Linked DNA regions of Lepisosteus oculatus. The protein of the gene in region 3 purifies or fractionates together with the protein of the main gene of each other region. This does not show direct contact. Links are inferred from orthologs where the notes say so. Each region holds a gene or a part of one and is shown on either strand. Other genes may lie near its edges. The genes, in order: ndufs1, zfyve9a, protein PML and raraa.

Region 1 (7,165 bases), on a different chromosome or scaffold from region 3:
TCTACTACTGTTGTCTCCACAGTCAATACCAATTTCTCCAAATACCTACATTTTATTTGCTTTAATATATATATATATGAACCCACTATTTCATTGACAACAAAGCAACATATCTAAAAATCATGCTGATTAAAAACTTGTCAGAACCTTGTCAAAATGACACTTAAACAAGAGAACACCTGAAGTAAACAAAATCAATCCCTTCACTGGACAAAAAACCTGAACATGCAGTAAAATACCAAATATTACTCCAAAGTGTAAAGTATCCTAGAACAAAAAATGTTTCTTTGCTAATCAACATAGAATTAGATGTTCCAGGAATATACTTCAGGAACAGGACGTGGCTGGCTTTAGTCCAGCAGAGAACAGCACTACAATAATTCTCTTTTGCTATGAACTAAAATAAAAACCCAAAATCTGAAGGACAGGGGAAGTCGTGTGCTACATTATACAGAATATCTATACAGCACATGGGAAAGACTTGGGATTTATTCACTAGCGGCCCCTGCTGGGGAAAATTACTGATTCAAGCACACTTACAGGATCCCCAGACAAGACCGTCCATCTGGATGCTTCTGACACACTCCTCCAGTTTGGCCATGTCTGTCTCGTCATCCCACGGCTTCACGTCCAGCAGGATGGAGGACTTGGCGATGAGCGCTGGCTCTGGAGGAAAAAAAAAAAAAGACGAGGGTCACCCGGCACACTAAAGCACATTGCACCGCTGCATCAACTCTACTGTAAATATGAACGCTGGCAACCATCAGATCAATAACAGTCCATCAGGGATTCAGTCGAAAGATGGTGAGTTAGATCATCACTGTTCCAGCGAACAAATCACCGCTCTGAAAAATCCCCCCTTCAAAATAATTTGCGATCCCCTCCAAAGAATCGAGCCCCACAAACAAAACACTTTCATTTTTTTGTGCCCCAACGGGCAGCATCTGAAATAAAACCCAGATCACCTATAAATTCACTACTGACATCACTGCAAATCCATGAGCAATACAAATGAGCAGATCCACCATGACCAGTTTTCGTAATCTACAGGTACTCAAGAACTCCCAAGCCTTTCCAGCTGTTTGAAAGCACACCGGAATCAAGCCCGGAAACGCAATCAAAAGGTGTGTTTGGTGCAATACAGGTCAGGGAGGGATATTAGAGGGTTGCTAGATATAGCCTGCTCCCTGCCACGGGGACAGAATATAGGCGGTAAGCTTACTTTTGGCTTTCTTTGCTTCGTAGGCCGCAAGACGCTCCTCCCTCACCCTCTTGGCCTCTTCACTCTCCTAAGGGGGGGGAGAAATCAAGAAAGTTACCTCCCAAAAAAAAAAGAAAATCGGACAGACCAGGAACAAAGCATCAGATACACGCACAGACAAGCAGGAGACTGCTGGCGGCCGTCAGACATCAGAATGTCCATCACGTCTTCAGCCGAAAGATGGTGAAGAAAAATCACTCTGGCCAGCCACAAAGGGAAAAACACGATCTGGACGAGGAGCTGGCAGAAACCATTCTAGGAGAGCCGCCGCCTTCAGTTAACACTTCAGTTCACGCGCGGCTTGAAATTTGCTTGTAATATGATTATCTATGAACCGGTGCCATTGTGGCATCTCTATATCGAACGATATGCAGCTGCGAAACAAGATTGCGTGAATCGGTTACAAGGGCTCCACGTGGAACTCGGACGTGTTGCAAGGCAGCTCAGTGCTACACATTACAATCAACAGCAGTGCCTGGCTGCACAAGACCGATAACTCATTGTTAAAAGATGAATTGGGGATTGTCCAACCCCTGGACACCTCACTTTCCACATCCACGTATAATCTGTAACAAATCTACAAAATGATTCTTCCCCCCCGTTGCAAAAGTGACTCTCTCAGCTGGCTTTGTGCAGAATCCACACGCACTCACCTCTTCCTCATCAGACCCAAACAGGTCGATATCGTCGTCGTCCTCCTCCTTCGACTCGGTACTGGTGACGTCTTCCACTCCAGCTGGGCCATACTTCCCCAGAGGCTTCTTCACTCCAGGAAGGCTGTGGAGATAAGGGACGGGAGTATGAGATGGGAGACAATAGCGTACACCACCTCCTGCAACCGAAATGAACTGGTTGGGGTCAGAGCTGATAAGCTGTGCATCACAGGCTCAGGCGAAAGATGGTGAAAACGATCATCACTCCACCAGTTAACACGGGCTTCATTTTACAACACAAAGAAGGCTTTTAAATTTCCTCTCTTGCTTTGCCAGCCAGTACCTTGCTTTCTCCTTCTCGTAGGACCTGATGTGATTGTACCAGCGCAGGGCATGGAACAGGTCTGCGGAAGGCGGGCTGGAAAGGGCCTCGAACACAGCGACATCTGCCTGAGACGGAACGTATCTGTTCAGAAAATAAAAGCCCACATTACACGTACGGTACAGACAACGGATTCTTCCTGAAAGGGGCACTTAACATCACTGTTGGACACGGTTATCAACTATATTAATCGATAGACGTAGGAGTCAAAACATTCTCCGAGATTCAGTCTTTCACAACTCTTCAATCTTGCGACACATCTTCCAAAATAGTACGCATGAGGCGAATTTCACATTTGAGGAGAATAAATTCATTTCAGCTGGGTGAATGAGTGATGCGTCCGTTTTCTTTTTTAGCACCCCCGCAAAACTAATCGACCCGAGCAACGAAAGGGTAAAAAAAAAATTGTGCCATTTCAAATGAATCCAAATACATCCCGTCCTGTTATTTTTTTTACTGAAGTTGTGCTAAAAGGAGTTTGCACGGCGCAGACAGATGTCGGGGACACTTTCAATGGGCTCCTAACAAGAATATACTGATAATGCAATGCAGTTAAGCCCGGTAAAAATGCCTATGGCCTACAATGTCAGGATATGATTAACATATGAGAATCGAGTACAAAAATCGTTTTACTTTCATTAGTTTCGTTTTTTTAATATTAAACGTTTAAGATGTATTTTACATATTATCAGCCCATTTTCTCCACAACCGCACTCCCAAGTCCTTAATCACTGAGCAGGCCACAGGCCTTGCCGGGTAAGAGTTACGTGTCAATTTTAACGTTTACGTAACAGAATCGCGAACTACACCCGTTTTTAAATAGGAAAAAACTAACATCGGTGATTTTATTAATCCGGTTTTGTAGTTTTTAAACGATAAAATCCCCTTTCGTTTAATCTGGCGCCAACGTGTCACGGCTAACATGACTCGTGAGGCGTGCTCAAAAAAACTTCCCAACGTGCAAATTAAAAAAAAAACGTATACCGTGTACAGACCCCTCGATATAACTTTTATCAGCCAAAAAGTCGTTGAGGACCTTCAAGCCGGCCGGGGTTTTAAGATCTCCAAAGCCCATTGTATTAGATTTGTTGTGCAGACCTCGTTTCAAAGACCCGGGGGTACGATTTCTTCACACCAGCGGTCCAGCAGGAAGAGAGAAGGAACGAGTTTCTTCTTACGATGACATTTATACCTCTGACGACAACACTGGCTCCACCCTCACCTCCTCGGACAACTAATTTATTAAGAACTACCTATTATATAATATAATGAACGAATCTTATTCGAAGTTTTCAATGTGTTAGGGGAAAATGACAAATTATCCAACTTTGAATTTGCATGACGAGAAAGATCCATCCGTCGTGTCTCAAACACACAGCCTTAAGAAATGCACGTCCGAAGCACTTCGGAGAGACTTTAATTGATGTGTGAAAGTTCTCGCAGAATCCCAGTAAAAGTTTAAACTAGAAGCAATGATTTGACAGAGCTTATCGTGTGGAAACGAAGAGAAATTAAACGCGTCAGGCGGTTCTCAGAGAAGAATTCTACATTTTAATCAATATTCCAAAAAATAAAAAGCAATATTTCTTTATCTTCTCACTTTATACTATTTTGATGGGGGTTTTCTGACTTTACATGAAAAAGAAATTAATGCAATACCTAGGTAAATACGTTCATTCATGTAGGAAGTGACGAAACGAAGGTTAAAGGTGAAAGGTTCTTTAATATCAAAATAAAAATAATAATGACATATGCTAGGCAAAATGGATGTATTTGGTATAGAATAAAATAAAATTAGTCTCTTTGGAAAAAAATAAATCTTTTGCGGTATACGTTATTTGATCATTTTCGTTATTTTCTCCGGAGATTGCCGAAGTCGCCATACTGGTAGAGCGCCGCTGTTCTGGTCTAGAAGGCCAAATAGCGACAAGGTAAGATGACCAAAACAGACCTCTGAAGTTGAAGTGATTAGTGTGTGGGCATGCAGATGCTTACTTTTTAAACTGTCGTCAAGCTACAATTAAAAGACGTTGAAGTTTGCTGTTTTTTAGAGTGAAAAGAAGGGGTTTGTTATCTCTTTCTGTGCCCTTGACTCTTCAGTTATGTAGCTTGCAGTGCCCTGCAACAACCTGAGCTCTGTGGTGTAATGGAAGAATTGAAAATTAATTAACTTGTGAGAGATGAAATTTATTTCTTTGTGAGCTGTTGGTCTGCCTCCTGTTTACCAAGTGTCACTTTGAATGTCGGAGGTTCTTATCATTGTACACGCCAACATTTTGTGTTTTAGTCCTAATGCTGTTCTTTTGCACATAAAGTGAGAGGATGCATTAGGTAGCTTTGGGATTTCATTTTCTAAAGTGTCTTAAATAGATAGAGCCGGACCGTGTTGTGTTAAGACATGGGATTTAGAGTCGTGTGACCTTTTTGCCGTTTCTGGGTCGTCTGTGTGTTCATGAAACCCATTCTTCTAGTGTCAATGTCTGATGTGTGTTTTTCTTCCAGCGACATGTTGCGTTTACCTGCGGTGAGACGTGCACTTTCAGGGGCTGCCCGTTCCCCAGCTTGCATAAGTGGGAAGAACAATGGTAAGCCCAAAAAATATCTATCAGTGATCTCTAAAGCTGAGCACACAGATGTAAACAGAGGGAATGTCCATTAGACAAGTGTTGCCTGGGGTCTTTCTGGCTGTTCATCTCTCTTGGTGGATGTTGCCACTTTGCGGTGCTTTAGCAAGACAGTTCTGCCTGGGCTGTTGCTCTGAGTGGTGTTTAGGAGCACCTGTATATACAGCAGGAGCATTGATGTCTTTGGGTATCCCAGCCCTGTGTGGCAGCTGTAGTGCTGCTTTGATTTTGCTGTACAAATCCGCATTGGTAGAATAAACTACGCCGCTGAGGATCCGTACTTGTGCTTCTCAAACTCTTCCCCCAGAAAGATCGGCGGTGTGTGGTGGAATCGGAAGAGATCGCGTGTCAGCTCTTTCCAGCACTTCAAGCAAATCAACCGTAGCCTTAGTTGAAACAAGCTCATAGGCTGGTTATGAGCTCACGTTCACAAACAAATTATAATTGGGGGGAAAAAAATTAGTGCTGAATCTTTTCCTGTACCACAAGTCTTGTGAGATCTTAAAATCATGATGCGGGCTGAATACAGTGCTGAGAAGTGTTATTTGAAACGCTTTGCAAAATAAGATAGTAGTGGAACTTGTTTTCAGTCCAGACCCTTAAATTCTTTTGCATTTGTTTCCCATTATGTTTACAACCCCCATCCAATAACATGATCCTCTGTGAGGGGCATGAACAGTTTTTACAGGGCATAGCTTGTAATCCCACTCAGCTGGGGGAATATTCACAGCCCATCCCATCCTTCTTGTTAGCTTGGTTTTGCACACCACTGCCTTCATCACTACCTCGACTGGAGATAATCTTGTTTGTTTTGCTCATTTCACCGGTTTCAATAGGGTTAAGAGATTGTTCTTTTAATGGGGCACAGTGGTGCAGTGGCTGGCATTATTGCCTCACAGCGTGGGGGCCCTGGGTTCAATTCTGGACCCAGGGTACTGTCTGTGTGGAGTTTGCATGTTCTCTCATGGTTCTAGTGGGTTTTCTGCAGGTGCTCCGGTTGCTCCCACAGTCCAAAAACATATTGGCAGGTTAATTGGCTTCTGGGAAACCTGGCCCTGGTGTGAGGGTGTGCGTCTGCGTCTGTGTGTGCCCTGTGATGGACTGGGGTGTCGTCCTGGGTGGATCCTGCTTAGTGTCTTTTGGTCGCCTGGCTCTGGCTCCCCCTCAACCGAATTGGATGAAGTGGTTAGAAAATGGATGGATGGAAATGTGTACTTCTCGTTACTTAACAAAAAGTAACAAGGGAGTAACAAATAACAAGGGTGGAGCAGTGACACTGTGGCTAAGGATCTGTGCCCGTGGCCGGCAGAGGAATCCTACTCTGTTGGGCCCCTGAGCAAGGCCCTTAACCCCAGCTTCTCCAGGGACGCCGTATAAATGGCTGACCCTGCGCTCTGACCCCAAGCTTCTGTGTCTGTGTGTCTCATGGAGAGCAAGCTGGGCAATGTGAAAAGACAAATTCCTAACCCAAGAAATTGTATATGGGCAATTAAATGATCTTATCTTAGTAGGAGGAACTTAGTAAAACCTGAATTGGAAGAGGCAGCTGGAAAATGGTGATCCTCAAGCCAGCCTTGCATTTGCATACTGCTGAGAGACTGGTTACAAAAACGAATGAGGAAGAGTTCATTGCGCTGGGTTTCTCGTTTGTGTCTGCAGTCCGCACCACAGCTACAGCAGCCAGTAACCTTGTTGAGATCTTTGTGGATGGAAAGCCCCTCATGGTTGAACCAGGAACTACAGTGCTTCAGGTGAGTTCGTATTCCGAAATGGTTACCATCTTGAAAATCAGTGTAAACTTTGTGAAACTGCAGGGGTATTGTGGTCCATATTTGTATGGACAGGTCAGTCCACTTTTGGAAATGTGGGTAATGAGTTTTATTTATCCTTTAAATGGTGAAGTACATTTTGGGGGAAAACAGATAGGAAGTATTAATAGTTACCTGTCATTTAATTCGGACCCAACTGATTTTTTTTTTTCTAGGCCTGTGAGAAAGTCGGAGTTCAGATTCCACGCTTCTGTTATCACGACCGACTCTCAATTGCTGGAAACTGTAGAATGTGTCTGGTGGAGATTGAGAAAGCACCCAAGGTACGGGTCTTCCAAATTACAAGATTTCGAAAGCAAATGATAAGTGCAAAGGATTTTGAATTTTGATACATGGAGAAAATCACATGGAGTTTTGGTGGTTAAATGTCTGTTGAAAGACCTTTTCATGTGGTTTTGTAAAAGTAGCTGCATATC
Region 2 (7,640 bases), on a different chromosome or scaffold from region 3:
CTAAAATCCTGCACCGTCATCAATTTACCCACAAAATAAAAAGTAAATGTAGGAAACAATTGACGCATCTAAGCTGTTTTTTCAGAGAGCGTACACGTAGCCTCTGTTAGCAGGGGTCGGTGTGGACCGTCCCTACGCCGCTCGTTGTGAAAGCAGCGTGAGATTTTGGCCCTGGCTTGTGCGTCAGTCCCGCCTCGCCCCCAGTGCCAAACAGAAGTGCAGTAGTACACCTTTCTAGTGGAACATCCTATTTTAGAAGGCAAATAACATCATTTAAAAATGTCACCCCCCCCCCCCCCCCCCAATATAAAATTCTGGCTGCGACACTCTCTAGCCCTCCCCCCACGTCCCTAGATTGGATGAAGGGGTGAGAGAATGGATGGGTGTGTCGTTTTCTTTAGGGAACTGTGTTTTTTTTTTGAAGGGTTAGAATTGCCAGTGAAGAGTTATCTTGTTTACGTGCCCTCCCGGTTTGTGATCGCCAGCTGCGCGCCTCCCGTGTCCCGGCTCTCGGCTGTGCGCCCCACGATACGCACGCGGGGGGGTGAGGGAGTGTAGGCATGTTCCTGAGACTCGGCCATCTCTGGGCCACTGGCCTTGTAGCGCATCACTGCCCTGCGCCACAGTGAAGGTGCATCCATCACTGGTACACAATTTGCTCACAGTATTTATTGTATATTGTAAATTGCGTTTTACAATTTCGCATGGGTCAGGTGTTATTTACAATTTTTACAATACTTTAATGTTGGCTGCAGTGGATGAAGACTTGAGTGCTTTCGAATGTCCAGAATGCAGGAGTGTTTTGTGAGGTGCACCCATAATGCCTATGGAAAGGCATATTTTTTACCCACCCCAACATGTTTGCTCACATACACCCTGCCTCCTCATCTGTTCAAGTTGCAGAACTCTTTCACTGCCATCTTCTCTGAAAAGAGCTGGCAGTATGTCAAAAGAATATCTTTTGAGGGATCCAAACCTTGTATAAATGAATAGATTGAGTAAACTTGACGTGCTTTTTTTTTTTGTCCCATGTAGTGCTTGATAACAAAGCACCCAAAGCAGAGGATATTGACGAAGAAGACGACGATGTCCCAGGTACTGATGTGTTTACGCTCATTATATCCGACCTGCAAGATGAATTAACTAAAACTTAACATTGTGTTAAGAGTCTGGTGAACCTTCATGTCAAAAAAGGTTATTTAATTTGAACCACTCTGATAAAAGTATTGACTTATGTAATTATAAGTAGCTTTTGAATCGCTCAATTTAGTGACGACTTTAGATGATATTCTCTAATTTCGTTATATCTATGAATGTTTGTTGTTGGGTTGGAAATGCATGACCGGAGAAGCAAGTAACTTTTTTTACTTGATGGACATGGCTGACAAAATGTGTTTGCAGCTTGAGGAGAGGACCGAGATCTCCTTGAGACGTGCATACTTGTCTTCTGCGTCTTCTCCTGCATCTAGAACTGTGTGGTTATGCATCAGCAGACTGCTGTTGGTCTTTCCTCTGAAGCTGGCTGTTTTTTTTTCCCCCTAAATCAAGTCTTTACTCCAGATGGCTGTAGTAGGAGGGAGTTAAAGATTGTGTAAAAACACCAGATGCTTGAGGCAGTCGGCACAGTGCTGGTTACGTCTTTGGGTCGATGCCGGAGCAGTGCAGTGAAATTTATTGAATTACTCACGGACTCGTGACCGGGGGGGTGGGGTGGGGGGGGGGGCGCGTTCATGAAAAGGAATCGTCACAGGATTGAAATGTCTGCGATGAGAAGGCACGGGGCGGTCGCTACCCGCTCCACAGCCTCCAGAAGAGCCAGAGCAAGGAGATGGCGGGACGTGAAGGCTGTGTCTTTTGTGCTGAAGTGTGAGCCCTGGCGTTTCTCGAGCTGACCCCACCTGGCCGACTCTTTCTCCCCTTGCAGACCTCGTAGAGAACTTCGACGAAGCGTCCAAGAACGAGGCGAACTGAGGCCGGCCGGAGAGGGGGGGCCGGAGCTCTTCCTGCGGCGGGCAGGGGCGACGGCGTCCGAGGGAAGCGGCTCGTTTCAGTGTTTTAACCTTTAGAAACAAGAGTTATGATTTCAGCGTTGCGACGGACGAAAAGACTTTTTTGTATTTTTAACAGGCTGCCCGCTTCGGGATCTTCCATTCTGGACCGATTTGTGCACTAAAACGCCATCGACACAATTTCCTGAAAAAAAAGGGTTCCCAGCATTTAATTTTTTGTTTTAAAGCGGCCTGGTATGCCGGCTGCAAATGCAGTGGTGAAGGTGAAAAGCTAGTCTTATTTAATTTTTTTTTCTCCTTGCAAACTCCACAATAAAAGATTGATTAACCTTTTCTATATGGTGCTGTTTCATTAGACAACGCAACACTTTGTATGAATACGGCTGGTAAAGGATAAACAGATTTGATAGCCGTTTTATTAAGGGGAATGGTGCTTGTGAATCACCTTGGCTTGACCCTGGGATGTTCATGAGGGCACAAGGGACATGAGTACTGTCCGTTCTCTTCTCAGAAACCAGCTTTTGTAAGGTCATTTCACACACTGTAAACCCCATAAAGCATTGCAGGACAATTGGCATCGATGGGAGGGGTGTCGTACTCTGGCTGGCTGGAGCCCAGTCACGGTCTGCTAGTGTCGCAGCTCAAACGATGCTCTTATCGCCCAAAGGCTAATTTAGTGGGTGTATGGAACAAGCTACCCAGCCACGTGGCCTTGGATCAGTTAACTGCTTAAGCACCAAGTGGCCTGGGTAGTCTTCTCTCATTAGTACCTGCTCACATGTTCTTATGCCTCGCACCTCGGGCAGCTGGACCGGATCTCTTGAGTGAGCCGATTTAATAGTTCGGCCAGCCTGGAGCCTAAGGGCAATAATCCGGGTTCAGCCGGGGACTGTAAATCATGCTTCTGTGTTCCCGGGTTGAAATCGACTTCCCACTGCAGCGGTGCCTGTAACTGGCCTGCGGGGAAGAGGTTTCATGCCCAGCCGTCAAAATAATCCATCAATTAACGCAGCGAGTTTCGATGAACATTTTCTATATATTCCGTAACCTGAAACAAATTAATAATCCAGCGGTCATTTTTTTTTCCCCCAAAATGAAAATATCCAACAGGGGGCACTGTTTTTTTTCTTTTTAATATCTGTACTTGGGGAAAAGAGCTGGATACTGGTTACTCTGTCGCACAGGTTTCAACAGCTTGAGCAAGAAAGTTTTGCCAGCGATCCGGCATCGTTGCTAGTGGCGTATTAATGCAGTTTCACTAGCATCCCTGGACAGAGATGGAGGCCAATAAAAAGTTAAGGTAAAGGCGTAATAGCATTTCTTCTGACCAATACAAAGGCTAAAACATAACCTGTAATTATATGCGGGTGAATCGCTTTATGTATTAGAAATATCAAGCTTTTCACGTTTATTTTACGATTTTTGTGTGTAAATGTGACGACTTTTCTAGAAACCTGTACCACACGCTTGCTTCCAATGAAAATGAAGCTTTTATGCAGGGCAAGCGGTGCCCAGGGAGTACTCTCCGTGTCTGTTCAAGGTGACAGGTCACACGATAAGGTGCACGCAAGATGAAGTGTTTCAGACGTGCACTCAGAAGTTGTGAATGCACTGCAGATCATGGTGTGAGTCACAGCACGATTTAACTCCGTTTTTACATTTTCTATTGGTCGGTGAGTCTCATGAATCCAACTGGTAAATGTGTGAGGCATTCAGGAATTCACGGATCCGTCCGATTACTGTGACATCCCGACAAAACGGTGAGTCGAATTAATCCCAACTTTTAGGAATTCAGAAATCTACGATCGCTGTGACATCTGTAAAAGCGGTCTCGTCTTTTAATAATTTCGCATTGCTTCTCCGAGCCCTTGACTTAAAGTGAAACCCGGTTTGAAAGACACTTTTTGTACGAGTCGTAACGCTATCTTGTAGCATCTTTTTCAGCGCCCAATGAGGCGCCGGAGGCGATGTCTTCCACGGTTCAAATTTTACAGACCTTTCGCCGCTTTAATCTTAGTGCGCATCAGTCATTCACAGAGATTAGCCGACCGGCGACCAGGTTAATTTTTCTGCACCTTCATCCGCAACGCGAGCTTTCGGTGTAAAATGCCGTCTGCCGCAGACTTTAAGATTTAAAAAAAAATAGTTGTATATTCGTATTAAGGCACAATATTCACGTGCTTAAGTGAGGGGGGGATAATTATTTAGCAGCTCCTTCGCGGGCAGCATGAGAGTCCTGGCGTTTCTGACATAATTATCGATGTTTGTTTTACAGCACAGACCACACTCTATTCTGGCTGTGCATCTCGGTTCAAGAAACATTGTAAAGAAGACGGGATAACAAGCCGATTGCCTGTTTGCCTACCTAAGTAGAAGAGCTACGGTTATTTATTTTGCATCATAAGATGCCTGCGCCTACCTTTCCTCCGGCCTAGAGGGGGCTGTGTTTTTCTTGACTCACACTATCCGCAGATTCTATTGGCCTGAGCTGGGAGAATTGTCGAACAGGGCTAGTGTGACGCGGATGCCATTCCGGCTCCAACTGAGAACCCGGCGGAGCGATAAATATTTGCAGCACTCGGAGCCAAAATGGCGTGCTGCCGTGCAGTTTCCTTAACCTTCTCTACGTTATAATACTTGGGGGAGGTGTCCTTCTGTTCCCTATCTCAACTACCCGACTTGTTCTGGAGCCTGGAGACATCGGGAGTTCAAACGAGGAGACTTATAGATCGTTAATATAGAAAAAAAAAAAGAAATAGATATCCAAGGAGAAGCCTTTCGGACCCGTTAGTTCCCCGAAAATACGCGGGATGTGGAGGGACGTGTTTCGTGGCGTTTTAGGATCCTGAGAAGATGAGGGGACCGCAGGTGAGACAGAAACGTTCGAGTTTGTTGCGTGTCATGTTGAAGCAATGATTTTTGAAGGAGGGGGGGGTGTGTGGATATTAATTAATTCACACCCCAGATTGCAAGCGGGCTGTGTGTCTCATTTTACACGCAAAATAAAATTGCAAGCTTCGGGAAAACGCAGTGAAATCGGAGGCTGGAAAGGTGTCTGTTGTCTTTTTTTTTTTTAACCTGCCGGTGAATAAAACCTAAAGGGTCGCAATTCCTCAGACGAAGATCCTAGCGTGTAACATTCTTTAGCAGCGTAGACCACGGTGCTCTGCCAGTTGTACAATAATCTGAAGAGGAACCGGCTCCCCGGAGCGTGATCGCATTTCGTTCTGCAAATCGGTGATCATGCCTGAGCCCGGCCGTGGAAAGTCACTGCAGAGGCTGTTGTTATTTCCAAAAGTGCATCATAGAGTTTGGTCTCGTCGTCCGCCTCCTCTACGGTCTTGGCGCTTTCCGGCTAATGCGGGACACAGGGTAAGCGCTTTCCTCGCGAAGGGCTGTGGCTTCAGCACGAGTGTTTTTATTTTGTAAAGCCGCGGTTGGTCCCGTTGTTTACACGAAGTTGAAGCCCGGCCTTTATCCTACCCCCCCGGCCGCGGCAGAGCCCTGTCCCAGCCGCAGTGACAGCGGGACGGACTGGTGCAGGATCGGGGGGACCCCCCGCCGCTGTTCCTCAATGCGGAGAGCACCCCCGTCCTGTTCATTTTTCTGACCCGTGTTCACGGCTGGCCTGGGCCGTGGACGCATGCCCTTTCAGGCGATTGATAAGTGTCGAGCTGAGACTGCTGAATCGCACACGCTCTCTCGCCTCGTCTTGGGGTGGCATTTTATTTTGGTTGTTTTCGAGAAACGGGGCGGGAAAACACCCCAACAGCATGTGATTTGGAGAGAGCGAGTGACTTTCCCTTTCCTTTCAGATAAAAGTTAAATTGGTCTGGGGCATCCGTCGGCGTCCTGGAGTCCTGCGTGTTTCGAGATCGGATTTGCTATTGCCGATTTATGTCCCCAAGAGCTGACTATCGCCCAGTTTAGCCTATGGAGAGAAACTCCTCACCGAGTAGCTTTGTCATGTGTACAGAAAGGAGCTCAACGTCTCGGATCATACCCCACTATTGTATTTTTTTTTTAGTTTATAATAATTTGCTCGCTGGATGTCTAGATGACTGCAATCGTAGAAAAAGAAAATCTGTTCCTGAAAAGACGCCGATCTTATGTCACAGTAGGGGAGTTGAGTCATTCCGTACATGGGGAATTTGCATATTTTATCAAGTGGAATGAAGCCACATCATTCCCTCGCTGGTGTCTTTGCAAGGAGGGGGTCTTGAGCGGCTCGCGGAGACGGGTGGGCGGCGGAACGATGTGGGGTCTCGAGCCGGGGTGCGCACCGACGCCGCGCCGTGATTGGCTGCGGCGGGGCGGCACGTCACAGGCCGAATGTAAAGCCGCTCGTGGCCTGCATGGTCAGCCGAGGACGCCTCAGCGCCCACCCACCCACCCGGTGCACGCAGAAAAGGCACGATGGCATGTTATCCTCTTCCTCTTCCTCATCGTTTTATAAGACTCTCGGCTACCTGCATTTGTCCCTGGCGGTGGTATCCCGGCTCTTTGCCCTGCTGCAGCAGGAACCCGCTTGAGAAGTCTTCGCCCTGTTGCGGTACCCGCCTATCACGGTTTATTTTCTTTCAAATTGTGTTTTAAGACAAAAAAAACACACACACACACACAACACACACTCTCAGTATGACGTCGTTGCGTCGCTCGCATCGTTTTAAGACCTGGATTTGTAAAGGCGCGTCCTAAAAGTCAGTAAGCCCATAAAAACCGGTGTATGGAAAAGGTATTTTATTTTGGTCCCGCTCACGGCACTTCACTGTTTGGGGTGGCAGGCCTTCGTGTGTCGGCTGTTTAAAAAGTGATTCACCCCACTTCAGGTGAGCTGTCATTTTCGTTCATGCGGAGGATCAGGTTGTCAGCCGTTAAACTGGTGCTTCACCGCCCTGCTCTCCACAACGGATTTCTGGAGGGAGAAAACCGTGTTTCTGGGCTCTGTTTTAGGGTCTGGAGCTTTGCATCCATATCTAGTCCTTAACAAAGAGTGTGTACTCGCTGCACAAGAATTCCTCATACAGATTCTGAAGTAATCGGGTTGGGTTCGACATCCCTCCTTATTTTGCAGTTTCTGTACATATGCTGGAGTCTTCTGTTTTATAAGCATAATTAAGACGGAAGATTACTGTGATTATACTCAGTGTTGGGGAGGGAGTACTTCAAAGAGAGAATCCAGGGCTCCCTAATCCATTCTTAAATAACTGTCACTTTGACGCCATCCTGAAACTTCTTATATTGTAATGGGAGCATTTGCATAATCCAGCACGAGGTTTTGCTTTCTGCTAATTTCTCCACTGGAATGAAGCGGAGGATATAAATACCCGCCTGAGCTTGATCAGAAAATACTCCGGCTCGCTCTGTAGCCTCGGTTTTGTAAACCAGCACTTGCTGCTGAAGTGATGCCCCCTGGGACGTGATGATGGGAGGAGGTGGGTGTGACGGGACTGAGAGTCTTTCCTGGTACACCAGTGGGTCAGGGTGACCCCCCACTCCCATTGTTTTCCTTTCTCGGTGACACAATCCAACGCCTTCATTGGCTTAATAATAAGATAAGCCCGAACTATTTGTTCCCAGCTCTTCAACGCGTTGGAGCTTTAGTTGACATGTTGTGATTTGTAAGTGAAA
Region 3 (7,929 bases):
TCCTTCCCGTTATTGCATGTTGAGAACCTTTTGTGTACTTAGTCCTCTCTCAAGGACTCTGGAATTTGTTTAATTTAGGACTTTGGAACAATAATGTGTTCTAAAATTATTTGTAATTTAGTATGATTTTCTTTAAATGCTTTCTTTCATCAATTGAATTAAAAAGTTACATGAAAAATGTTAAACGGTATGATTTCAGAATAACAGATCTTTCACAAATCAACAAAATGAATCTTAAAAATATTTGCACTTTAAAATGATATCTGGAATCAGTCATGGATATTATTTGATCTTCAACACATTGTAAATTTAAACTGGATTATAAATTTAGCTTGAGTTTTTTTTTGTCATTGCATCAAAATGTAAAATACCTCATTTGTTTTTTTTTAAATAATAATTTAAGTAATTATGATTCATATGTTTGTCTGGTGTACATTTTTATTAAATGAGATATACATAGAAAGAGAAAAATATAATGTCTTAGATTATTTGATTTCATCGCACATATTAATACACATTTTCCATGGTCCACTAGACCAACATGTAAAGGAATGTATTCAAATTACAGCTGTTTTAAAACTTATTTAGCAGTTTTTCTAGCCAGGTTGACTTACAGTTCATACAGTCAATGCGATAAGTGGATACATGATAGATTTGCCATAGAAATAGTATATAGTCTATATATAATTATTCTTATATCAGTATTTTATAAATAAAATTTATATTTTATAATAATATAAATTTATTCCCTGCTGAAAAAAAGAAGAAAGAAAACACAACGTTTCGGCCGTGGAGCCTTCATCAGCCTTCCTCTCCACGACCGAAACGTTGTGTTTTCTTTCTTCTTTTTTTCAGCAGGGAATAAACCTGTTACTTGTTCCTTTGCAGCCTACGCATGCTGAAGCAGCTACCCACCTGAACTTATAATATAAATGGTATATTATCTGTTCCTGCTTAGTGCAGATGTCTCCAAATGGAATAGTTTTGTGGAATGTATTTGTGAATTCCTTACTTATTGTGACATGAGCGGTATGCTTTTTGCATGGTCTTAAGTGTGTAAACCTTTTCCAGTTAAAATAGATAATGCATTTACTTGTATACTGTATAGTGCTTCTCATCCCAGAGAGTCCCACGGCGCTTTACAGAGCACTCACCTGGGTGATGCACGGCTGCCATTGTGTGCCTGCAGCCCTACTACACAGGTGAAGAAGTAAGAAACTGCTTCATTAAGAGGGAATCTTAGGGAGGCCACGTTTTTAAATCCAAGAATGAAATTTAGACCATACCCCAGGGATAAGACCCCTGCTGTTTCCAGAAGTAGCATGGGATATTTATTGACCAGGTAGTCAGGGCCTCGAGCGAATATCTCCCCCAAAGGACAATTCCTCCTAATGCACAGCAACTCTGATCACTGGACTAGGTGTCAGCTAGTAAATTCAGATCCAGTGAGAAGAGTGCCTCCTACTGGTCCACCAACGCCACACCAGTACTGACTATGCCCTGCTCTTCCTTAGCTTCTGAGATTAGGCCACAAGGTGACAACACTGCTTCCAGTTTTATGTTTATAGGGTTATCGTCTTACATGGATTAAAGGAGAAGCTAGGGTCTAAAGCATAGTGTGTGGTCTTTATTGTACAGAATGAGAGGGGAATGCCACAGCTCAAATGGAAGCAAAACAGCAGACTGCTGAAATATGTGAAGCTGTGGCTCAGAACAGACTGATTGATCCCCAGCAGCATCACCAAGCTTCTGTAAATGTGTTTTCATGAGTGGTGGAAGCGAAATGATTTGCTGGGGGGAGAGGCTGTCGGAAATCAGCATCCGAAAATTATTAAATCTAACTTTGAGGTTGAGAACCTGTTGAGATTGAATTTACAATGAGAAAGAAAGTATATAAGGAAATCTACCTTAAATTGATTGTGTTGATCGGATATTGTCAAAGAAAATTTTTTGCAAATGGAAGTATCATGTCAAGATGAAGTGATTGTTATTTAGAAATGTCTTTTTTCGTAACAAATGTAAAGTGTACACAGCATTATGATGATGGTGGATTCGGAGGCAGATGGTTATGCAGTTTGAAGGTACTGTATGTCAGGTGTATGTCAAGGCTCAGTCCATCTGCTCAGGACCATTCTGAAAGGAGAACACAAGGACAGCCTCTCGGGGGAAAAGGCTGGAATTACAGTTTACAAGTCTGGAACTGATTTTCTCCTTCCACTTTAGTCTTTTGGTTACATCAAGAAAGCTGCAGTTTGTCTCAAGATGTTTCTATTGTAACACACATTTTCTTTGTACTTTCATTAGTAAATACAGTTCTTCTAGGGTTTTTAAATAGGGTATTTCATAATTCAGCTGTGGATCAGCTGTGTTCTTCTATTTTTTACATTTCTCAGGCCAAAGTACACATAAACACTTTGTGGAACATACCCTTTTGTAAATGGAGACATTTTATATCTAATTTAATTATAATATATGTAATTGTTTCTTGCTTGGAACAATGTTATTGTCAAGTGAAACAGCGGTCAGCACAATTTCAGTATAAAACCTAATGCCTCATCTTCTGTTCTAGAATTTACAGATTAGGTATCTTCAATGTTTTTAATATATATTTCAACACTTTGTGTGTTGCTGTCCATACGTACAGTATAATGGTGAAAAATCTGAATCATTTTAATTCTTTTACAGAATTAAAAGACCAATGGAATGTAATGCATTCGCAGTGGCCTCTTCTGCCTCATGTAATCTTCACCGCAGTCTTGTTTTCTTCGATCTCGAAACCACTGGACTTGGTAATTATATATTACATTTATATAGTATCTTTCTTCAGATAATTAAGTTTAAATCTATTGTAAACCCCTCACTGTGGAAAAGTATTCCTGTTGCAGATGTTTTAGCTGAGGTCAGTATGTGTCGTACTGCCAGTTTACAAACTGACAAGGATGTTGATGTACAGCATATAGTTATTACTAGTTGTTTATAATCCCCTTTTGTCATGTATGGGGAAGAGGGGAGTAGACTAACAATACGATTTATTTACAATGATTCTTCTGTGCATTTTCAGCAAGTTTGAGCTTTATTTTCTCTCTGACATTGTTTTCCATGAGTGGGGGGTAAAGGACTGATTGCAGATTGTGACACTACTTTTTGACTGCAGTCTTGGAGAACGGAGCAGTAACAACACATCAATTGTGCCTTTGCAAACAGGTCCAAGGTGTGATATCGTACAGTTGTCCGCTGTAAGTGGAGACCACACGTTTAATGTCTACATGGTTCCTCGGCGACCAATCCTTAGAGGGGCCTCAGTTGTCACCGGGTTCACTGTCAGGAGGCGACAGCTGTGGCTCCACAGCCAGGCCCTTCCAACCATCACTCACCGGGAGGCTTTGATATCCTTCGTGGCCTTCCTCCGCATGCTGAACCGCCCTTTTCTGGCAGGGCACAACATCAGGAGGTTTGACTGTCCTGTACTGCTCAAGGTGCTGGATGAGTTCCACCTGAGAGAGGACTTCCAGCAGGCCACCTCCGGCTTCGTGGACACCCTCCTCCTGGCCCGAGAGCTGTTCAGGCACAGCTCCATCCGGAGCTATCGCCAGGAGCACCTGGTGAGGGCCTGCCTCGGGACCTCCTACCAAGCGCACAATGCTCTGGAAGACGTCAAGGCTCTGCAGCGGCTCTTCCGCGCCTGGGCGCCCAGGTCAGAGCAGGTGGTCAGGCACACCTTCACTCTCTCACAGGTGGGAACTCGGAACTCTCGGTGGCCACTCATCTAAGGAAAAGTGATCTCCAAGCACGCTGCAAGAAAACTGGCTGCATGTGGAATTACTCTAGAAGTCTCACCTGCAGAGTCCCTCTAAGAGGCTCCAGAAGCTACTGGAGCCCCTGAAATAAGAGCTGTGGAAGGGCTGCTTTGGAGCCACAATTGGCAATATCACTGACTTCCTGGAACTTCAAAAGCAGCCTTAACCCAGCAGAGCTGTCTCTGAAACACGAACTGGCTTCAGCGCCAGTTGAGCCTCAGAGACTTGGTTCACAGGAATCTTGAGGCAAATAAAATTAACATTTGCGTTTATTAAATTAAAACCACTGAGAAGGAAAGACCTTTTGCTTCTCTACATACCAATGTTTAAGTTAACAGAATGGGCGTTTTGCTAGAGGCTGTTTTATTTCCACAGCAGTGTGATTTCTTGGACTTCAGAATCAAATGTGCCAAGTTCTAATAATTATGATCAAGGCAGAAAGAAAATTTATAAAAGACACTGCCTGTTTAGGAAAAGCATCTGTTATCTTTCATTTTATTGTTTTATTAAATATAAATAAAGTAATGTATTTTTTCAGGTCCACGTGATCTCTAAGGATTTAATAAAGTGTCATAATCTTTTGGTTTTTATTAGTTGTTTTAATTGGGTGTGTTTAATATTATGACGAGACAAAGGAAATATAATTTTACATGTAAAAAAAAATTGCATTGTGGCCATTCACATATTCTTCTATGTTAAACACCTATAAAATACAAGCGGAGCGGAGGCTCTGTGGCTCAGGATCTGCGCCTGTGGCTGGAAGGTTGCTGGTTCAAATCCCGCAGCCGACAGAGGAATCCTACTCCGTTGGGCCCCTGAGCAAGGCCCTTAACCCCCATTGCTCCAGGGGCGCTGTATAAATGGCTGACCCTGCGCTCTGAGTCCAAGCCTCTCTCTCCTTCTGTGTGCTGTGTCTCAAGGAGAGCAAGCTGGGTTATGCAAAAAGGCAAATTCCTAATGCAAGAAATTGTATATGGCTAATAAAGTGATCTTAATCTTAAATATTTCAAATTAGATTTCAAAATTTTGCTTTAGATCTGCTAAGCTAAGCAAATCGTTTCATAATAATGGCCAGTAGGGGGTGTTAACAGGCAAAATTATAGACATCGAGGAAGGAACCCCGTTTCTCCGCTGGAAAATGAGACTTGTTTGGAGAATAAGGATCCGTGCGTACTGTATGTTTGAAAACAATAATTCATACAACACAATACATTCTGAAGTATTGTTCTTTTAATCACAGCTGCAATCAGGTTTATATATGGCTTACAGTATGTTTGGCACATCTCATCGTCCGATTGCATTTAATTTCATGCACAGTACCCTTTCGTCAGACTAGAAGTGAAAGGGAGGTTAGCGGTACAGGCTGTTCATTTCCATTTCTGCTTCGCCACCTCCGTTTTCGTTTTCCTGCGCAGCTTTTAACCCTTTCCAGGGTGTGGTCTTTCACCACCACCATAAATCCTGAAACGGTCAATACAGCTGATATACTATTAATGCACAGAAAAACGCATAAAAGCTTTGTAACAAACACAAGGTAGCACCCGGCAGTAATGTGGCTGAAGGCAATCGGGGTTTTTAACAAGCATAATCTGAACGATCGATAATTATTGATTCATTTACCATTCTTATAAATTTATATCGTTTTGATATCTGTAAAATAATAAAACTGTCAAATATACTGTACTCTTCAATTAAATTTTAAATACAGCCGAAGTGTGAGACTTGAGTGGTCACAAAGGCAAGATTAGTATAAAAAGCAGTTCAGGATCTTGCTTGTTTTTGTCCATACTGTACCTCTGGGTTAGATTTTGGTCTTGTTGTGTAGAGATTAACGGTTATTTTTCTTTGTTCTCGTTTTTCTTTCATTGTAAAAGTGGTATGTCGTACTGCTAAGCAGTGATACGAACCGTGATATTCTGTAATAGAGGGAGGTAAATCCGGTATGTATTTTTTATACAAAGAATTGGCTCTTATTTTGAAAAAGCTTATAGACGCCTGCTACGGTGATGTCACTCCGCAGCAACTGGAATATGGAGGTGAAGAGACCACAGTGGACATCTTAACCCACCGATTTTATCCAGTAGGTATTTTTTTCTACACTTTTTCCAATTTTAAATACTATACTAGTTAACCTGGTGCAGCCTATGCTAAAGTTGTTCATATGCAAACCTGTGTATTATATGAATTTTGAACGTTCTCTGTAGTACAAACAAAACCAGGTCTGCAAAACAGTACTTTAAAAGTGAAATTTGGTGTTCACGGACCTTAGATGGAGCTGCCTTTGAATTTCCATAGAGGAAAATTAACTTTGCATTGATATGTCCTTAATTTGAGATCTACCCAATGCCAAGTGAGTGTTTTGTCCACATCATTTTACCAAATATTCCTCATTGATAAGGTATAAAGTGTTGATTCCACAACATGAATTGTGGCAAAATAATTTTGAAAGAGCATTGAATATCAGTTAGCAACACTGAATAGATATGGAATGTATGCCATATTCACAAATGGAAATAGGCACTTTTGACTCAGCACTGCATGGGTAGGGTGGATGTTACAGTTGGCCAAGGTTTTCTCAGCTTTTAGGAAGACAGTTTTCTGCAGCATATAGGATACCTTCAGACCTGGTGTGATGTCAGTGAGTGTTGCACTGCTCTGGCAATCTTTCTCTCCTGTCCAGCGCTCACATGTCAAACAGATGAAGTGCTGTAACAAGGGGCACGTCAGAGAATCCTGACTGCAGGGCCTCTTTCTCTGTGCCATACAGCAGACGTTGCCAAAAAATCAGGTCTTAAACAACAGGTGGTTTCAAACCGGGCACATGCATGACAAATATAATGGGCAGTTCCAATTTTTATATCTATAAAGTTAAGTCAACATCAGGAAGCAACACAGTGTAGATACTGAAAAAAATGTTAAGTACAAACTGAATCGGTCGAACTGTGATGTCGGAACAACGTTGCTTTTCCTGCTTGCAAATCCAACACACATTTTCGAACGGAATTGGAAAAGTGTTCTTGTGCCTTCCCTAATACACTCTGATGCAACTGGGTTATTTCTGGATTCTCCATCTTTTAACAGGACAATGGCTAATCAGGCAGGCACCCTATTACATGGAGAACAGTTCCTGCTGTGTGGAATCTGTACCAGGAACATCTCCTCTCCCAAGCTGTTGTCCTGTCTTCACACCTTTTGCGAGGAGTGTCTAACAAGGTCTGAGAAGTCTGATTCTGTCACCTGCCCTACCTGCCAGAAAGCCACAGAACTCCCCAAGGTGAAGAACAATGTGCTCTTCTCGGAGCTGAAGGCCAGGGTTGATACCTACAGACAGATTGTCCAAGCCAGCGTGCTTCCATGCTCTAGGTGCAGAGCTGGGGCAAGCTTCCTGTGCTTCGAGTGTGAGAAAATGCTGTGCCAGAGCTGTTTTGATGCCCATCAGATCTTCACAGAGAAGGAAGGACACCCAGTGGACAGCGTGGAGAACCTGAGGAGGATGGACTTCCCAGACTTCCTGGAAGCCACCCGCAAGAAGAGGCTCCCTTACTGTCCCAGCCACGAGAAGCAGATGATTAGGTTAGATCCGCTCCGACTTTTGGACTGGAATACAGCGTTGTGCCTTGGTGTTCCAATTTTAGACCTCTTGAGTTTGGTTCTAAAGATGTTCATAAGAAGCAGTCCACTATCGTGTTTCTAATCAGTCAGATATTACACTTGATGCGTAACAATTGTAACTGTAAACTAGAACCCTGTATCTTTTGGAGTAAGGGTTGGATAACAGAAGTTTGTGAGTGGTGATCTGGTTTCCTTTAACTTGAAGATTTACAGGATACAGGTTTTGTCTGTATTGTAGGTTTATTTTATTAACATCACTGTTAAATTATTTCCTACTTGAAACTTGTTTTCCACAAATTCAAGGTAATTTGACCAAAATCCCAGTTTTAATTCATGTTAATTTGATTTTCAGTAAGAGGGCACGTTTCTGATTTTCTTATCTGTGTGAATGAACTACAGTACAGTATATTACTGCCTGAATATCTGTTTTTAAAGAACCATGTGTTATCAGACCTGTTCTCTATTAATATGCCAAGGAAAAGCCTTTTGAGAGGTGTGAAAATAAGCTTGATACGGCAAA
Region 4 (7,805 bases), on a different chromosome or scaffold from region 3:
TTTGCCAGGCTGTAGCCCGATTGCCCAAGCACCTTGGGGACTTGTGGGGTTCGGTTTTTTTTTTACTTTGTGCACAGCAGAGACCCCTGCTGTTTGCCTATCCCCAGGTGCGCCTGCACTGTTATGTGAGTGAAGCGCTGTATTCTTGCATCTTGGCATTGCGGCCTGACATGACAGAGCACATCCCTGCAGCAGCCTGCAAGTTGTCTTCATCTCCCCAGTGCCCCTACAAGGGATTGACCAAGAGCGGGTCATTCCGAATCGATAGAGAGCGGTGCTGATAATAAAATTATTATTCTTCTTATTATACTGAACACAGGAGCACAGTGCGAGCGCTTTGGGCAGGGTGAATGACAAAAGCCGCAGACACAAGACCAAACCTAAGACAGTCTGAACACAGAGAGGTGAGCTGGGGAAGATCCTGTGCGCCACACTACGCCCTCAGCTCCATTGCAGCCTCTACCGTGCACCTACAAGTGTACCGGGTGGCCTTTGCAAAGGCTGTTGGCTGGTTGGTTTAGCTCGTTTGCATGCCAAGATGGCAACCTAGACAGATCCAGCCGCGCGGCATCGACAGCAGCAGGGGTATCGGCGCACGTCTGCTGGGAAGGGAAGTGGGGAGAGCCGTGGACGTGGGTGAGCACACTCTGTGTCTTTAAGAGCGCTGTGTCGCTCGGCGCTGTGGAATGAGGAAGGCGGAGGTGCCAGCTGGATTCTTGGAATTCTGCTGAGCAGAAATGCGGGCAGGCAGATATATATATATATTTTTTTACTGTGGCATCACGGGAATAAGATCCGGCACTGCTTGGAACGCTTCAGCTCACCGCAGATGGAATGAGCACAGAGTCGGCTGAAGGTGTTTACTCTCCTGCCTGCTGCAGAGTCTCTCGAGCGTGGATAAGGGCCGCTCCCTGGCTGGCTGCCCCCTTGCTGTTCGGTTCCCTGCAGCCCTGCACTGATCTCATTAGATCTTGCGCAAGATTCAGCAGTTGCCCGCTTCGCCGGGGTCTTATCTCGCTCTGGATGTCGGAGGCGACCAGCTGTCGGGCTGTAAGGAAACCAGAAAATTAAACGGAAAGTCTGGCTGGCGATCTAATTCAACACGTAAAGCACAGCTTCTAGGCTCCAGTCATAGAATTGTTACTATTATACTGAACACGGGAGCACAGTGCGAGCGCTTCAACAACAACAACATCACTTTATTAGCCCTATACAATTTCTTGCATTAGGAATTAATCTTTTCGCAGACCCCAGCTTTTCTCCATGGGGACAGACACACAGACAGGGAGAAGCTTGGGGTCAGAGCGCAGGGTCAGCCATTGTACAGCACCTCTGGAGCAGCTGGGGTGAAGGGCCTTGCTCAGGAGCCCAACGGAGTAGGATTCCTCTGCCGGCCGCGGGATATGAACCGGCAACCTTGTAGGCACAGATCCTTAGCCACAGAGACGAGACCAATCCTAAGATAGTCTGAATACGGAGAGCTGCGCTGTGTAGTGTGACGCACAGGAACCTCCCCAAGTTCTACGGCTTCTAAGAACCACAGCCATGGCAGCCATGTTGGTTTTGCTTATTAAGATCTAAAAAGAGCTCAGGAATCTGTGTCCCAGAGTTCCTCTGCCCTGGCGTGCTGCTCGCACCTTTCCCCCCGACTGCTGCCCAGGCTTCAGCCCTGGGCTCCGTTCAGACGCCCCCTTGAGGAGTGATGGCTGACTGATGTGGGAGGAATGACTCTCTCCCCGTTGTCGCTGCTCTCCCGTGGGGGCGGGGCACCGACGGGACGTGAGCTCTTCTGGGACTGATGACGGCGGACAAGCTTGCAAGGCAACAAACGAGTGAGCTCTGAGAGGCCAGAGGAGGGCGTGAGTGCAGGCATTTCGCACAGGGGCCAGGTCGCCAGGAAGAAGGGAGTATTACGCCGGTGCAGAGAAGGTGACAGGGTGGTGGGGCCACTCCAGATTCACCTCGTGCAAGATGTAACGCAGGATAGCTCCGTTGCTTGGTAATTTGCATGCTTGCCGACTGCACACTGGCTGGAGACACTTGCGCCAGGACCTTCCCATCTCCCCTTGCCATGAAAGCCACCATTAAACTTTCAGTCTCTGTTTGGCAAACAGGTGATGCGGAAGATCTTGGAGAGGCTCACAGCTCGGCAGTGGGTGGCATCGCTGTAACAATAGGGTGTTGTGGCACAGCTGTCTTCACTGGCGGGGGGGCTGGGGGTAAATTGGTGGCAGTGTCTAATCTTTATTGCCCCCCTAACACCTCTGATTGGAGGGGGGGGCAATAAAAATACTTTCGCACCCTAAAGATCCAGGCAGGATGTCCTCCGCACTGCCCTCTCATAAACCTCCCTGAATTCCCAGCCCCAGTCTGGTCTGAACCTAACCCTCATTATCTGCTTTTCATTATTCCTGCTCACCTCCCAAAGACCCAGGGTCCTGCCCCACCGCCACTCACTGTGTGTGCGCAGGCAGGCTTGCTTTCGCTCAACCCCACGGAGGGCAGTCTGGCACCCATCACAGGTCTGGCATTCCTGGGCAGCTGCTGGCTCCTGCCAGGCCCACAGGCCACATGCCCTTAACCTCTGGCTCTCCGGCAAGCTCCTTTTCAGTGTCTTCGCTGTGGCACTCAATTATGTGGCTCTCGAAGTAATTACTGGCTCACCAATATGGCAGCGCTGAGGTCTTTTAATGACAGAGCATTTGAAGGCTGTACCAGCAAAACCAGGCTCCCAGTACAGAATGTCAGTGTCGCCTGGGGTCCTTCCAGGGACTCATTCTTCAGCGGCTGACGTAAGTCCTCAAGTACAACATCCTGGTGCTGGAAACGCAGGCCTCCCCCATTTCTTTTGACTCTCCTCCAGACCTGGAATAATTAGTCATGTTGTAGTTAATTTCCCAAGTTCATACCGCATGCAGAGGTTACTCACAATCGCAGACAGCCTTCAAACGGGGAGGCTGTCATTCCTGACCTTTTGGTGCTGTTGCAGCAGGCCCTTATGCACATAACGGGGCATTAATGACAGATATCAGGCAGTTAACTGGCAAGCAGGAAAGGCAGATGGGTCCTGTGCCAGCGCATTTGTGCACAGTCAGCGTAGCCCTGCAGCGGAGGGATCTGAAGGGAGCCGTTCCTGCATGGGCTGGCCATGTCCACTGCAGTCTTCCTTCGCCCGGTCCCGCTGGTCCTGGCGTCCCTTCTCTGGAATCTCCTCTGAAATGGACTCCAATGGCACAGAGCACAGAGCTCAGCCTCCCCTCCCCCCCGCCTGCTGTCCTTATCAGTAAAAGTAAACAGTTTAAGCCCTGGTGTTAAATTAGTGTCACAGTTTGCTGCCAAGGCCCCAGCAGGCCTTCCCCTGCAGAGTCCTGGGGAATGCCCTCCAGTCGGAGCTCCGAACTGCCCGGCAGGCTGGGCAGGCTCCGGGCCCGAGGCTCGGCTCCGCTGGGAGCTTTCCTGGGATTTCCCCCGTGCTGCCCGGGCCTCTGCACAGAACATGGCTGCTTCCACTCCAGATGGCCTCGTTCCCTCTGACTGACCGACTGCTGTCCGATCAGTCCACTTTGCCCTGGGAAAAAACACTGATTACAGCCTCAAAATGTACCATAAATAATACACTAGTGCATCCCCATCCGTAGAGCTCTCTGTGAGGGACACAGGCCATTTGTTCTGACCTGGTCTGAATTTGCAGGGCACTAAACAAGTCCATTGCATTGCTCGTGACTGTCGTATTCACTGTCACGGCACTGTGCGGCATTATCTATCTAGATCCTATTAGTCCTCACGGAATTGCAGTCTAATGATATTCTTGAGTATTAGATCTGCCAGGCTGTGTGTGTGACCATGCTTTCAACAAGTGACTTCTTTTCTGTCATGAACAAAGACTCTCAATCTGAACCATTTATTTATTTATTTATTTATTTATTTATTTATTTATTTTTAAGTGGCGTTTTGCAAATACAGAAAACTTGCAAACTTTTTCAAAGTCTGGGGGAAAGGCCGTCGCTCTTAAGCTCATCGTGCGCGGCCTCCGCTGTGTGGAAGCGCGATGCGAGATGAAAGATTTAACTGTGCGCGTTTTGGTCAACGTCGGCCTGGGTGCTGTGCGGTTCTCAGACCAGCTCCCTCCCACCTGCGAGTCGGTGGGACTTTTCGGGGACTCCGCGTGCCAATGCGCACGAGCGGCCAGGTGGGGGAACCTCGAGTGACGTCAGCGACAGGAACGCGGAGGAGCGCGCCGGAGTCGGCGTGTGGGTCACCCGGAGGTGAGGCGGCCGGCTTCCGCGGGTTCAGGAAAAGTTCACCCGCATAACATTAGGCAAATTAGTCCGGGGGGAGACCGGGAAACCTGCGAGAAAAAGGGGACGATGGGAAAAGGGGGTCTTCCGCGTCACGGCGTGGGAGCTGGGCTCGTGGGTGGAAGAGGAGGCGTCACTTAGTGCTGTACGAGAGAGGCATTCCTGTTGGGGTGGAGGGGTGTGTGTGCGTGTTTATTATGTCCCTAAAACTGCGGCGGCGCGGTTTTAGTTTGCTTTTTAAAATTGTTTCAGACGACCACCACCACCTCCTCCTCCTCCTCCTCCTCCCCTATTTTGATTTCGAACCGACAAGTGTTAATCCTCTTCCCCTCCCTCAACCACACACACACACCCCTCCACCATCACCACCGAGCCGCTGGGTTTGCGGCTTGTACCGAGAGAGCGGGCGGTTTGGCCCGGGTCCTGGGGCTGTGTGACTGCGGGAGTCCGGAAAGGGTTAAGTCGGGGAGGCGCTCTGGAGGGAGAGAGAGAGCGGAGAGAGAGGGAGGGAGAGAGGAGGTAGGTGGGGTCCGGTCGCAGTTGCTCGCTGCCGTCACAATCTGCGGCGCAGGGCAAGCGGGTACCCTGCCTGGGAACAGACTTGGCGTGAGAGAGGAGAGAGATCCCCGCACGACAGCAATAAACACGGAGTCGGGGGGGGGGAGACGGATCGAGTCACGCGAAACGGGGGGGATTAAAAACGCGAAATCTGCGACGCCAGCGAAACACAGCTTCCGCGCCTCTCGCCTCGACACATCCGAGGCGCTCGGCTGGATTTAAAATTATTTTATTTTGTTTTGTTTGGGGAGGGGAGGGTCTCCCCCCCCCCCCGATGTGGTGGAAGGAAATTGAAAAAAGAGTGCCCCCCTCCTCCACTCCATCGCCCTCCCTCCCTCCGTGCCTGCCTGCCCCCAGTCGGTGTCGACCGCAAGCGTCGCAGGGCAAGAGGAGACTGTAGCCACCGAGGCAGGAGGACGAGGGTGGTCCGGTCCGGTCCGTTTGCGCTGTGGAGGTGAGGACGCGCTCCTCCTTGCCCGTGAAGATGTCGCGCCTGTACGGGGAGAGCGGCTGACGACGCCAGCCTGTTCCGTGCGGGATTTGTACCGGCGTAGCTGGGCTGTTTTTTTGGCGTGTGGGTGTCGCGGTATTTTTTTTTTAAAGAAAAAACTTCAGTTTTTTTTTTTGCCTCCCTTCTTGCCTACCTTCTCCAGTTTTGTGGAGTTTTTTTTTTTAAATAAACAGTTTTGTGGCGGGGTGCGGGAGAAAAGTTGGCACCGCGGGACCCGTCTGGAGCAGGGAGCGCAGCCCGGGGCCCGCTCGGGAGCACACGGAGGGGGAGACGCGCCAGCATGCGAATCGCCGCCTCTCCAGCCAGCGCTTCCACGCACAAAAACCGCAAATGAAGTTGTTCTCGGACCATGCGGGGAGACCCACTTAGTTAGCTGCTGCACCCAGACCCCACACTGAAATCACTGCCCGTTACTTCATCCACAACCACAGTGATTGGTCTTCTTGCTGGGACGGAACTTTGCTGTTTGTTTTTTTTTCTCTCTAAAAGATCAAATCATCAGTACAGCCAAACTTTTTTTTTTCCCCCAGCAAGGCTGGGTGGGGTGGGGGGGGAGATCTCCCACAGTCACTACCTCTAAGATGTTGTTTGACAGCTAATCAGAAGAAGTTGTGCGAGTAGTTCTTGTTGCTCCTGCCACCGAGAGAAGATTTTGTTGTTGTTGTTGGGATATTACTTTCAATCGGGTTTTTTTTTATTTTTATTTTTTTTGGAGTCGCCAACACGCATCATGTATGAGAGTGTGGACGTGGTGGGGTTAAATCCCAGTCCGAACCCGTTCCTAATGGTGGATTACTACAACCAGAACCGAGGATGTTTAATCCAGGAAAAGACGATCGTGGCCGGATCGCACCACCCTTACGGCAGCTCCATCAGAAACCAGCACTGGACCGGCTCCAATCACTGTAGGTGGACATTTCTGCTCCTGGGTTACAATGTTTCACTTCGGGGGACATGTGTCTGAGCGATCGCGTGTTACGTGTAGCCCAACTCGCGTTCTGTGGGCTTCCGCCTACGGTGCAATTTCACTGGTCTGGATCGATCTGTATCCCGGCCGCTTCGTGTAATTACGGCAGGCTCGTCAACGAGTTTAAATTAGCGCGGCCCCGATTGTGTGTGAGAGAGAGAGCGAGCGCAGGTGCTGTGATTTAAGGCGCTGCTTGAGTGACCTTCTCGGTGTTTGTGTTTCGCTTGCAATGTCTCATGTTGTCCTTTCCGAACGAGCTCCTTACTAGCGTGTTGGCTTCTGTTAAACCACCTCGGCGTCTGCCGGCTTTCCTCGCCGTGTGAACGTGGAGACCCTTGCGTGCGCGTTTGCTACACCTCCTCTGTGTGTTTTCACCTAAACATGTTTTATTTGGTCAATAGCTTATTGCATCTATACCCTCTCGATGGTTGTGCTTCAAGCACAAACCGTTTGGACGGCTGTAGTAATCACCATTACAGAGGGCTTTACCGCTGTAGCCCCCGGCCAGCCCGGCGCTCTACATACGCGACTACGGGTTTTGTCTTTTTTTTCCCGGCCTACAGTACATGTAGCGAGTTGTAACAGTAACTGTGCAGTAACATTTCCAAAAGAGCGAACAGAAACGTGCTTGCAATGCTGTGTTTCAATGCATAGGACACTGAGCTCATTTGCGGAGGCACCTTTGTTAAATTGCATTGTAACGGAGGTTTTTGTGGATAATACAGGACGCGCTGCTTTTACATTTCCACAGATTGACTGTTTTTGTGGGTACTTGCTGTGCTTAAGAAGGCGAAAATCTTTAGAATTGCGCGGCACAGTAAATGTATATTTGAATTTAAGTGCAGGGCTTTTTAAAACCGGTTGAATGCCAAGTAAGAACAATTATGGGCCGAGCAGCTGTTGGTAAGCGAGTTTTTTTTTGGAAACAGATTTTCTGTTTCTAGTCCCTTTCCGAAACTTGTTTCTTCCGGACGCAGGAAAGAATTTTTCCTCCCTAAATCGTTAGTCATCGCAGTTTGTGCCAAACTAGCGTATTGAACGACGCGCCTTTCGTGGTTTAACGAAGGTAGACAGGGCGACGGGGATGTCATCATTTCTAAACCGATCGTTCACGATTTTTTTTTGTAAAAAAAAGCGTTATATCTAAACGCTGCTGTCGAATACGAAGTTTGTACTCGACAGAAGACAAGAAGAAAAGGTCATCATCGTTGTCGTTTTTGCACTCAAAGACCCATAATCGGTCCGTGTCGTCAAACCGTCGTGTCCAGAGTCAGGAGGGACATTCGTTGGATCGTGTTTCGGGGTCGCCCGCTATTTTATCTGATATTTTCATTAGACTTTTCTAATAACTGAATTCTGGTGATCATTTGTGCATATAAGCCCTATAAGAAGCGGAAGAAGGGACAGTAGAAATCGCCGGACTAAGGCTGCGCGACGTGCTGCACCTCCGGGGAAGGCGACATCGGGAGCC

The links.
Region 1: the proteins of protein PML (region 3) and ndufs1 purify together in Homo sapiens (affinity purification with mass spectrometry; 3 studies listed by BioGRID and IntAct, counting the BioPlex papers as one, with this or other methods). This does not show direct contact. The link is inferred for Lepisosteus oculatus from reciprocal best matches to the Homo sapiens genes PML and NDUFS1.
Region 2: the proteins of protein PML (region 3) and zfyve9a purify together in Homo sapiens (affinity purification with western blotting; 3 studies listed by BioGRID and IntAct, with this or other methods). This does not show direct contact. The link is inferred for Lepisosteus oculatus from reciprocal best matches to the Homo sapiens genes PML and ZFYVE9.
Region 4: the proteins of protein PML (region 3) and raraa purify together in Homo sapiens (affinity purification with western blotting; 6 studies listed by BioGRID, with this or other methods). This does not show direct contact. The link is inferred for Lepisosteus oculatus from reciprocal best matches to the Homo sapiens genes PML and RARA.

What each region holds. Positions count from the first base shown.
Region 1 is NC_090707.1:32,796,023-32,803,187, reverse strand, and holds the start of ndufs1 (NADH-ubiquinone oxidoreductase 75 kDa subunit, mitochondrial), read left to right. Parts: upstream 1-4,162; 5' UTR 4,163-4,227; intron 4,228-4,798; 5' UTR 4,799-4,802; coding exon 4,803-4,881; intron 4,882-6,579; coding exon 6,580-6,671; intron 6,672-6,904; coding exon 6,905-7,012; intron 7,013-7,165. Other genes in the region: eef1b2 (elongation factor 1-beta), read right to left, coding at 541-666, 1,223-1,289, 1,915-2,038, 2,258-2,380, 3,292-3,371.
Region 2 is NC_090704.1:3,610,982-3,618,621, reverse strand, and holds the start of zfyve9a (zinc finger FYVE domain-containing protein 9), read left to right. Parts: upstream 1-4,630; 5' UTR 4,631-4,877; intron 4,878-5,174; exon of another isoform or gene 5,175-5,381; intron 5,382-6,391; exon of another isoform or gene 6,392-6,561; intron 6,562-7,640. Other genes in the region: btf3l4 (transcription factor BTF3 homolog 4), read left to right, coding at 1,036-1,095, 1,925-1,971. UniProt on the Homo sapiens protein: Early endosomal protein that functions to recruit SMAD2/SMAD3 to intracellular membranes and to the TGF-beta receptor.
Region 3 is NC_090700.1:59,363,999-59,371,927, forward strand, and holds the start of protein PML, read left to right. Parts: upstream 1-4,913; 5' UTR 4,914-4,972; intron 4,973-5,691; exon of another isoform or gene 5,692-5,781; 5' UTR 5,782-5,877; intron 5,878-6,878; 5' UTR 6,879-6,882; coding exon 6,883-7,370; intron 7,371-7,929. Other genes in the region: protein PML-like, read left to right, coding at 1,084-1,202, 2,686-2,789, 3,205-3,770.
Region 4 is NC_090723.1:6,530,936-6,538,740, forward strand, and holds the start of raraa (retinoic acid receptor alpha-A), read left to right. Parts: upstream 1-4,805; 5' UTR 4,806-6,097; coding exon 6,098-6,272; intron 6,273-7,805. UniProt on the Homo sapiens protein: Receptor for retinoic acid. Retinoic acid receptors bind as heterodimers to their target response elements in response to their ligands, all-trans or 9-cis retinoic acid, and regulate gene expression in various biological processes.